2 linked regions of the Drosophila melanogaster genome follow. The protein of the gene in region 2 interacts with the protein of the main gene of each other region in a pairwise test. Each region holds a gene or a part of one and is shown on either strand. Other genes may lie near its edges. The genes, in order: CG6398 and CG6664.

Evidence for each region.
Region 1: the proteins of CG6664 (region 2) and CG6398 interact in a two-hybrid assay, tested with the Drosophila melanogaster proteins (one large-scale study listed by BioGRID).

Annotation. Positions count from the first base shown.
Region 1 is NC_004354.4:17,828,839-17,834,084, reverse strand, and holds the start of CG6398 (uncharacterized protein), read right to left. Parts: upstream 3,258-5,246; 5' UTR 2,765-3,257; coding exon 2,639-2,764; intron 1-2,638.
Region 2 is NT_037436.4:17,012,343-17,018,193, forward strand, and holds CG6664 (uncharacterized protein), read right to left. Parts: upstream 3,839-5,851; 5' UTR 3,401-3,838; exon of another isoform or gene 3,331-3,400; intron 2,925-3,330; exon of another isoform or gene 2,917-2,924; 5' UTR 2,915-2,916; coding exon 2,799-2,914; intron 2,736-2,798; coding exon 2,645-2,735; intron 2,563-2,644; coding exon 1,651-2,562; intron 1,588-1,650; coding exon 1,108-1,587; 3' UTR 544-1,107; downstream 1-543. Other genes in the region: CG7728 (uncharacterized protein), read left to right, coding at 4,297-5,851.

The sequences.
Region 1 (5,246 bases), on a different chromosome or scaffold from region 2:
GGGGTGGGTCTGCGGAGGGCGAGGGGCTGCTGTGCGATATAGGCGTGGATACGATCCAACGCCCCAAAGCCAAAGCCAAATGCTTTGGCCTAAGACAAAACCAAAAAACGACATGGCTGTGGCATGCCAGCCACTACAAGAGTACTTCGAACACGATGGACCCACCCAACGAGGAGCAGGATCGGTGGGGAAATCAAGAAGTAGATGGTGAAGCTAGTGGTCAGGGCGAAGATCTGGAAAATTCAAGGAAAAGGGCAGCCTGCAGGCTAAGAAAAGGAAGAATTAAACTCTAAACAGTATGCAATCTAATGTACATATACCAACAAGACATACAATTAAAGATAATATAAGATATAGGGGTATTTAAAGGAAAGTAACAACACAGAGCTTCCTTTTCCACCATAATAGTTTCCATTTGACTTCTTTCGAAGAAAACATCTGTAATTAGCTAAAGAAAGGTTGGAAGTGATGATATTCTGACACCATCATCATGATTCCCTCGACTGACTCCCCCGGATTCCCATTCTTTGAGTAGCGCTCATAATCGCTGTGGGTATTTAGTTCTCCACTCCCCTGGGGATGCACTTCATAGGACCCTAGGGTTTCCTGTGGCCAAGTAGCCCATCTCGAGTTACCTGCTGCACCTGAGCGGTTCTTCAAAGGCTCTTACAGGGGCGGAAATCGAAGGAGAACGGAGATATGGAGATGGAGGAGATGGAGGTGGAGGAGGAGGAGGAACAAGAAACGTGGATGGGGAGAAGGGAGCGATGACCCAAAATGGGGGAGGTCAAGGCAGACGATTGCTTCTAATGGCTTTATAAGTGCCCAGGCTCTGAAGACTTCGACGCTGGGCGAGATTCGAACGAATCTCACCGCAATTATCGTTCCCTCGATTCCATTGAAACTTTCGGATTAGGCGACAAAGTCGAAAAACGTGCAAATATTTTCAGCACACTTTGAGTGCTTTTCTTCCTCTTCTTCAGCTTTGTTTTTTATTGTTTTTTTTTTTGTTTAGCTAACTTGTTTTGGTATGATTGGTATGCGCACGCACACCGCCGCGATTTTACACCTATTTCTATAGAGCTCTCCGCATCTAAAATTCTCTCGGCTGCACCTACAAGACGGAGTTGGATTTTCTACAGTGCCACTTCATTAAGACAAACTGCTGCTTATTTGAAAGAAATTAAAACACACATATGCTGCGATTGCTTTCGGCCCTTTAAGAGGCGGATTATAACTGAGATTTCAGTTAGCTAGTTGTATTTCATAAATAGTGAAGTAACCAACATAAAATTGAAAATTAGATTACTTGGAAGAATGGGAAGTGTTGTAATCCGCAGTTTGACTGTATTTGCAATGCAAACTGTAAAATTGTGTACTCCTTCCACTTCACCGCCCCTTTCTTCTTTTTCTGCGGCCTCTTCTGCCTGGGCTCTTCTTCGTTTTTTCGCTTGGCTAAGCGCTCGCGTAGAAAGTTTGAACGTTAACGGCCGTTGCCCATCCTCCACAGGCCCCTCTCGATCAACACCGCACCACTCCCTCCCTTCTTCCCTACCCACCTCCTTCCAATGCCAGTTGTTCGTGTATTTGCTTTCGACCTTTCTTCTTCTCCGCCTTGCCCTTTTTCTTTTTCTTTCGGCCAAGCACAAAACGAGCGACTGTTACTGTTACCTCCGTTTGTTGCTGTTGCCTTCGTGGTTGCCTCTCCGCTCCTCTCCTCCCTTTTCACCTACTCCTCCTCCTGCTTCTTTTTTCTCGCCCTCCTACTCCGCACAGTGGGCCGCGCACACCTGTATGCAGTGCACAAATGTCAGCAAGTGCATCTTAATTACATATCTTGTTTATCTAAGCATCGCTATAGATAAGATTCTCGGAAGAGGACGGATTTTAAAAGATATGCAAAGATGTTTGTAGAACTAAATGTCTCCTACTATTATTAGTAAAATATAATACACATTATTCTCTGGACATAGTCGAACGGGCTTAATTCCTTGGAAATTATGGAGATATTCGTTCCGGTTTTAATATTAATTAAGTATGAAAACTTTAATCCTTATCGTATTTATTTACTATGCTTCCAATGGCATTTGTGAAATGAAGCCACTTATTTTCAAAATATATTTAATAATATAATATAGTACTCTGCTATACTTTCCAGAAGACGAAGTCCTAAACTCTAGCAAGTTATTTTCAACAACTAATATCTATTGTATAAGTAGGGCCTAAATTAGGATATTTTCAATTTCCCTACCCATTTTAAATATTTCCATTGTATCGTACCATTATATCGTTGTCTTGCACGACTTTGAACCCGATCTTTTCCGATTTCTTAAGCTATTGCCTAATCCCAGCCTGGATCTACTTTAGCCACATCTCTGGGACCAATGTGCAGAGCTCGTAAGCGGAGCTAAAGCTCCGTCTTAAGCGGGAGAGTCTTCGGCTTTGGTTGTAACTCTGTCTCTGGCTGTGGCTTCTGCCACGCAGTCGCAGATGCACCGTATATTTCGGTGGCGCTGGCTCTGGCCTTAGCTGATTATGTATTCCAAGCGGATGGGCCTTGGGTTAATTCGATTCGTAGCCCCCACCTTCTCTGGCACTGAAGACTAAAGACACTGTAGACTGCAGATTGAAGACTCACCTGTATCTGGTTGCGCCAGACATCGTAGTGCAGCCAATTATCCGTGGAGAAGGCGATCGCCAGCAGGGCGGTGGCGATGATCGCGCAGATCGTCGCTATAGATAGGGTTACGGCCGAGCAGGGCATGCTGGTGTTTTATTCCGGATCTGTTTCGAAATCTCAGCTATTTTGGGGCTATGATACGGGATTTATCCAACGAAAATCCCCGAGAAGAAAACAACAACTACAGTTGCTATTATTTTTCTTTCGTTTCGTGATCTCTAGCGTCTTCGACGTCTTCTTCTTCCGCAGCTAGATTCTGCCGCTTCTTCTTGAACTGCTACTGCTGCTGCACAAATACACAGTTAAAAGAGCAGCAACCAGTTTGGAAGGCACAGCAAAAAAAAAGCCAACGTTCGTTAAAAAAAATAATAATTTTAGCAACGGGCCAGCACTAACACACTGACACGGGCTCCACTGCACACGCTCACAACACTACACACACACACACGCACGCCGGCGAAGAATCTGAGCTGGAGAATTGAGAACGGAGAACTGAGAATCTGAATCTGGGCAGCAAAGAGACGGAGAACTGATAGCCAAGACGTTGTGATCGCAACAACGTTCGCCAGCGGACTGAAAATCGTCGGCGACTGAGCCAGACTTCAGGTAATACCAAATACCCATATACCATACCCATACCCATACCCATAGTCTCAAGTCGCAGTCGGCGTCTCAGTCGGCGTTTCATTTGAGCGCTTTGCAATGCAACCGGACTGAGGGGGGAGGAGAGTTAGGAGCAGGAGGCAAGGAGACGGTGCCTCTTCTACCTGCTGGATAAAGCAAAAACAAGAAAGGAGAGACTGTTTCGGCAAACGAACCATGGAATACCCTCACAGAATGCTTATATCTCTGCCAATTTGAGGCGAACTTGATATGATCTTTCATAAGCTCATTATACATTTATGTACGAAGTTTCAGATTTTCATATTCGATAACGTAAGATTTGTGTTAATTGTGACTTTATGTTAACGCATCTACAAAACCCAACACTGGATAATCCAGATAACAAAACGCGATGATAGACAAGGCAAATCATGATATCCCGTAAACACATATGCCCAGTTGAGATTTGCAGAAATAACGTTAGATATATAAGAGCTAGTAACCTTTTGTTAGGGTATACGAAAGGCAAACAACAACAAAGCAGCAGCCTGTTGATCTTTTCGTATGTTTGTTTGGTATTTGGTATGCGGTGCTGCCTGTGCAATGGAGTCCCAGTCCCACTGGGCAGGAAGGTAGGACGCGAGGCACACAGCCACATGGGCGTAGGCGGTGGGCTGGAACTCGAAGGGGGCGTTCGAAGGGGTGTGCTGGTGCTCCCATATCTCGACCGTATCGCAGTTATGCCACGCCAGATCGTAACTCTGTCAAAACTGAGCCACATATTTTATTAGCAAGATATTGGAATCAGGCTCCTAAAAACAAATACCCATTACACTGAAGGATCATAATTGGAGTTTCTGCGGAATGTGAATATCATTATTTGACACGTCAATATCATTGCCTGCACACCCATTTAAACGGTTTTGTTTTTGAGCCTGAATAAACATGCATGAATTTGCCTATATCTAAAATGGTTCATTTGAAAATCGACTTGTAAGAACAATGCGTCCAGCTGATAGAGAGTCATTAACTTCTGGGGCGAGAATTTTTTGTATATTCAAATGCCTAATCTGAAATTCCGCCCACATGAGTGCGATTAGTTCGGCCTTTTCCACCGCCCGCTGCTAATCAGGGCGCAGCCGATTTCTCGCAGTGTGCAATTGACCCAAAGATGCTGCGACTGCGCAGGTAAAAAATATATACACACAGACATCTCGTGTACGGACATATCCATATAGAGATAGGTGTTTGTGTTTGTGCGGCATTGGCATCTCGCTGCGTCTACTTGCTGTTGTTGTTGTTGATTTTCATCGGCTTTAATGCCTTTGTCTATTTTGGGTTTCTGTTTATGGCGTGGGTTTTTCTCAATTGCATTTTTGGGCGCGCTCTCGACTGCAGCAGCAAAAGCACAGTGGCGGGCAGAGAGATAGCAGCGTTTAAGAAATTAAGAAATATGCATATAGAAAATCGCCTAAAAACTGAAAGAATTTAATACCCTAAAGAGGTGCTGTTTGATTCATTTTTAAATGTATAAATTGGATACGCTTTGCTATTATTTTGTCCTATTTTTCATCTTTAACGTGATACACATTGATTATATTAGTTCTAGACCATGAAATTCCCAAATTTTAAAGACGTACGCTTTAAATGTACCATGTTAATTAGTTATTCTCTGGCAAAATGTAACAAAATTGGAAACTACCATATTGACGGGCATTGTAAGTGTCGTATGTGTGAGTGTGGAAATACCAGAATTACCTAAATAACAACAAGAATAGCCGTGCACTTATAAAGCAATGTTTGTAATCGGATCGCATTGGCATGTTGGCCAGTTGAGTTCAGTTCTCAATTGCTGGCCAAAAGTTTTTGGCCCCTCGAGTGTCTGACTGTCAGTCAGTCTGTCTCTTTCTGCGCCCCATTACCCCTCTCCCTCTCTCTCTCACACTGCTCATATAATTCGTTT
Region 2 (5,851 bases):
TCCCACTTCCTGCCCACCTATTTCACCGTCTTTCTCTCGGTTCTCAGATCAAAGTCAAGTCACTTATTTTAATTGAACACTTTGCGGCTTTGTTTGCTCTCGCTCGAGGTGTTACACTCCGCTTTTTGGCCTGGCCCAAAGGTTAGTCTTTGGTCTTAACGCTTCGCGCTGACTGTTTGGCCTTTATTTACAATCACAAACACAAACAACACAAGAGCATTTTGCAACGCGAAGTTAGCTGCAGCTGCGCGCCAGTGTGTGCACGCCAAGTGGCAGAAGTATGAAGGCAGTTTTAGGGGATACTTTAAGTGTTGCCCCACCATTTGTCGTGCATTTAACGGAAATTCGAAAATTCTTGTTCTTGTGGTTCGTCAAAAGAAAAAAATGTTATTTCTGAAAACATATTTTAAAAAAACCTATCAGATGATGTTTACAATTCATATATTGTAGTGTCTACAGTTGTACTTTCTACAATTTTGAAAACCTTGCACCTCGAATTTAAACAAAATTTAATTTAAAAAAATTCTGGACGAATTTTTATTTAATTTTAAATTGTTGAACTTTATTTTTGTTGGCTTACATAAACATACTTCAAAATTTTTTAGGCCCACATGCGAAGGAATTGTGGGAAAATGGTTTCGACATGAATAGAATTCACCCTTTTTATAAATTCATACGATCTGGTTAGCGTGTGCTGTCCATCCTCATTCTCATCCTCTATATCCTCCATATCTCATTATTAGCTGTGTTTTACTTAACTTTAACTGGAACCGAGCGAAATTAGAAAAACATTCAAATCTTAAACATTAGCGCTAAATATTCGTTCGCCTAGGAATTCCGTTATTGAAAGGTTTTAAGAGATTTTGATCAAATAGAACATACATATACATATTAACCATATATAAATGTGGCGACTTTGAGTCGCCCTGGAGAAGCTTACGATAGTTACTTTCTCATCTTTTGTTTCTGTGTTTTCTTATGTTTTTAGGATCGTTAAACTGGTTGCTTGCATGCGTGCGTGTTTATGAATATAGTGTGTTTTCGTGTGAAAGTGTGTGAATAAGTCATGATTTTTCTGTATCCCTGTGCGAGAGCTACTGCATCCTCCTAGTCCTTGCAGGTGGACGTGTCCATTGGACTGGCTGGCTGGATAAAGGCCGTGGCCGCCGAGCTGGGCGGATTGGTTGGCGTAAACGCCGACAGTGAGGAGTTGCTGCTGCTGTTAACAAGATTGCCGCTGGACGAGTTGTTCAGGCTGATGTTCATCAAATTGGACGACGACGACGAAGCGCTGGAGTGGCTAGTGAGCTGGGCCAGCAGACCTCCACCTCCACCGCCGGCCAAGAAGGTGGCACTGCCGCCAGCCGAATTTGACGAGCCAAGGCTTAGGCGTTCGCCTCCCAGATTCGAGAGAAAGCCGCCAGCGGCATTCCCAGCTGATACGGACGCGGACGATGAGGAGCTGCCGGTTCCCAAAATGCCCAGCAGTGGGTTGGTTGAGGTCAGCACGTTCGGTGCGGAAGTGTTCAGGCCCAGCATGGGCGTTGGCAGTGCTGGCTTTATGAAGCGTTCGCTGGCACGACGATTCTGAAACGAAGAATTTTTAATTTTACAAATCTGGAAAGCAACATTTCACAATATCGTACTCACCACTAGCTGGCCGCAGGCATAGCAGCGGTTTTGCACCGCCGTGCCCGGACTTAGAGGTCGGCTACTCGAGGGACTGTGGGAGACGGGACTGCTGATGGTGCGTTGACGTTGGGCGCTCACCGCTGAAGCTGCGGCGGCGGCTGCTGCCGTCGCTACAGCGAACGAACCGCCTCCCATCAGGTTCTCGTTGTAGAAGCGTTCCTCGTCCATCTCCAGCGAGGATTCCGATTCGGAGAGGTGCCGGCATAGGGCTTCGCGGCGCTCCACCTCCTGCTTTAGCTTGCGCTGAAGGCGAGCGTTTTCCTCGCGAATCGACTTCTCTTCCTGCGCATACTGCTGTGTTTTGATAGTGGCTTCCTTCTGAGCGCTCGCCAGGTCGGAGCGATAGCGAAGCACTTCGGAGCGCAGAATCTGGATATGAGCACTCAAACTGGTGGCCGTATCGCCACCATTGGCATGGGCGTTGTTTGTGATGTCTCGCGGCGTAGTCGGATCGGAAACCGGCTGATCCAGCTTGATTTGCAGCGAACGCTTCTCGGTCTCCAGCTTGTCCATGCGCTTCCACAGCTTGTTTACAAGAGCTTCCTGTTCCTGCTCAAGCGTGTTCTCCAACTCGACCATTTCGCGGCGCAGCTGCTCGAGATTGGTCTGCTTGTTGTCCGTCTCCGCCTGGAGCTTCTCAATCTTGCGCATAAGCTTGTTGACGAGGCACTCCTGCTCCTGCTCAAGTGTCTGCTCCAGCTTGCACTTCTCCTGACGCAGCTGGTCGAGCTTCCGGGAGAGATCGTTGGTCAGACACTCCTCCTCGCGCTCGTAGTGGTGCGCCAGAGTCTCCTTCTCCTTTTTGAGGGCCTGAATCTTTTTTAGCAGCGTGTTTGAGATGTATTCTTCCTCCTGCTCGGCTTTGGCTTGCTGTGAAAGTAAACAAAGGTAAATTGAGGCAACTTTTGTGAAACTCAATTTCAATTTGATATAACATAAAAGTAGTACTAACAATGATGACTGAGGCTTGCTTGAGGCAGCGATTCTCCTCTTGCACCACTTTGCACTTGGTCTTGAAGGTATCCAGTTCGGCTTTCAGCACCCTAGAAGCGTAGAGTCATATTATTTGTGGTAAAAATGCATTTTAAAAATAGTGTCTGACTTACTTGTTCTGCTGGGTGAGCGATTCGATCCTCTTCTGGAGTTGCTCCCGGGAAACTGGGCTTGGTGGCAGCATGGTGCCACCGTCCAGCGAACTTTCGGATTCACAGGGACTTTCCATGCCTGCAAAACTAAAGGTAAATGGCCCAGTGCCATTACGTTTTTTGAGCATATACATATATGTATGACGAGAAATAATGTATGCCAGTCGCTTTTTAAGCACATATATATTATACATATGTGCATGAGTACATATATATGTGGCGACTGGCTGTTCTTTATTCTTGAATTCGTCTGCGCCCCGTGAGGAACAAAGAATAAAGAAATCGGTCGGTGGTGGTGTTTGGTTTTGGCCCTGATCCGATGCAAAAGTTTAACCTTCAGCTGTGATTTTCTGTGCATCTGGCTTGATGCAATTTTTCGGAAATCGATAGAAGGGCAAGGTCGGCGAAGGAAGGGTTTGCACAGGCTGGCAGGCCATCGCCATCGCCACCACCACCACCCACAGCCCACCACTGCCAGTGACTTCCAACTCACATGTGGGATTACGCCTCCCCCTTTCAACCGGCTGAAAATGTCCGATTTTCCAGATTCTATCTTTGGTTACCTGGCTTTTGTGCGCTGTTTCGCCTTAAAAGACTTTTGCCTTCCGCCGCACTGCTCCTCCCCCCTCTTGAACACTCCTTCGCCGACTCTGTTTCACCAGGGCTCTGGTTGCCGTTCTTGCGTTTCACCTGCGCAGGTGAAAGGATGCAGCTGCGAACGGAGTAGAGTTGAACCTTAGGCGTCTGCTTAGGGCCTGCAGATCTGAGTGCGGTACATTTTGCCCGATCCGATCGAATAAAATTAAAGTCAAATTGCGAAAAATCCACAGTGCAGAAGTGTGACCGTATATGTGGCGAAATACCGAAAAAGCGCTCACAGCGAAACGCCGCGAGGTAGTGATGACACTTGAGGAAATACCAGTAGAGGTGGAAAACAATACAATTATGCTATTCAAAAATTGTATTACAATTTTATCAAAATATATCAGAAAATAGACAGATACGTTAATTTTGTAAGTTTCTTTCTTGTCGTTGTAAGGTGGAAGTCGAAATGTGTATTATTTGACATTTTACTTAAAAACGGTCATTACTAAATAAATTATTTCTTAATTTGTGTTTTAAACGTTTCTGATTTGTATACCATTTTTCATGAGTTTGACGATTGCGATTTTGGTTACGCTTATACGTGTTACAAACAAAGTGCTTATGATTCCTAGTAGCGTATAACATATGCTGAAATAAATAATACGTTCAAAACCATTACTTTACTCAATAGATTTCGTAGGCCGCAACAAACAAAATATAGTCAGTCTATCGTACTATTTATTTACGATATGTATTCAGGGCTGGATGAAACCAATTGATTTGGGGCTGTTTCATAATCTGGCAACACTGGCTCCACGTGCAGCGCGCAAACAGCGGATAATTTAATAATTTAATATATTTAAAGGCTGTAACAATGGCCGACGATGCCGGCCAGGACAAGCGAAAGCAGCACCGCGCCCGCCAGTCCGGCGTGAAGGCGGACAAGAAAAAGCTGAAGGCCAAGAAGGACTCCAACCAGAAGGAGCCCGAGTTGACCGCCAGGCAGAGGAATCCCAAGGCGTTCGCCATCAACTCGGCGCAGCGAGCAGAGAGGAACTTCCGGCGCAAGGAGGACCTTACGGCCAAGAAGCAGCATATTCCGGTTGTCGATCAAACTCCGAACGTACCGCCACCCGTACTGATTGCCGTGGTGGGACCACCCAAAGTGGGAAAGACAACGCTGATCAAGGACCTAATTAAAAGCTTTACGCGGACGAATGTCACCGATATAAAGGGTCCCATTACTATTGTGACCTCCAAGAAGCGCCGGATTACCCTGCTGGAGTGCAACAACGATGTGAACTCCATGATCGATGTGGCCAAATGCGCCGATCTGGTGCTGCTGCTCTGCGACGCAAGCTACGGCTTCGAAATGGAGATCTTTGAGTTCCTGAACATCTGCCAGGTGCACGGCATGCCCAAGATAATGGGCGTACTTACCCACCTGGACATGATCAAGAACCCCAAGCAGCTGAGGAAACGAAAGAAGGAACTGAAGCACCGCTTTTGGACGGAAGTCTACGATGGCGCCAAGCTATTCTACCTTTCTGGACTTCTTCACGGCGAGTACCTCCGGAACGAAGTCAAAAACCTGGGACGATTTATCTCTGTGATGAAGTTTCGCCCGCTGCAGTGGCGAGGTGCACATAGTTATCTGCTGGTAGACCGCATCGAGGATGTGACAAACACAGATCGCGTGCGCCGAGATCCTAAGTGCGATCGCGAGGTAGTACTCTATGGCTATGTCCGAGGAGTTCCTCTCAAGCAAGAACACATGGTGCACATAGCTGGCCTGGGGGATGCCCGCATCGACGAGTTAAACGTCATTCCCGATCCTTGCCCCCTGCCTGGGACGGAAAAGAAGCGAAGTTTGCTGGAGAAAGAGCGATTACTGTATGCACCCATGTCCGGAGTCGGTGGCATTGTTTACGACAAGGATGCTGTCTACATTGAGCTACAGGGATCGCACTCGCACAAGGAACAGGAGCAGACCGCTGAGGCTGCCGAGCAGGCGGAGCTGGTGAACAAGCTGATCGATAAGAAGGCCACCATTGATGAACAGATGGAACAGCAGGAGTTCCGTCTATTCTCAGATGCCAAGCCCATCAAGTCCAAGGACTTCCGCAATGATCAAGACGACGAAGAGGAGGATGAAGAGGCGGAAAGTAGTGAGAATGAGGATGACGATGGAGAGGACTCTGGTCTGGATGCCGCTGACAGTGAGGAGGAGCAGCAGGATGAGTTCGATGCGGACGATTGGCGTGGGGAGAACAGTGAGGAGGAGGAGGATGCTGAGGAAGACGCTTCTTCTGGCGATGAGGAATATCAAAGCCTGGGAAATGTGAAAACATCCAACGAATCCGATTCGGACGATGAGGAGGCTCGCGTCCTGGCCAGCAACATGAGCTGGAAAACTAATCTGGCCCAGA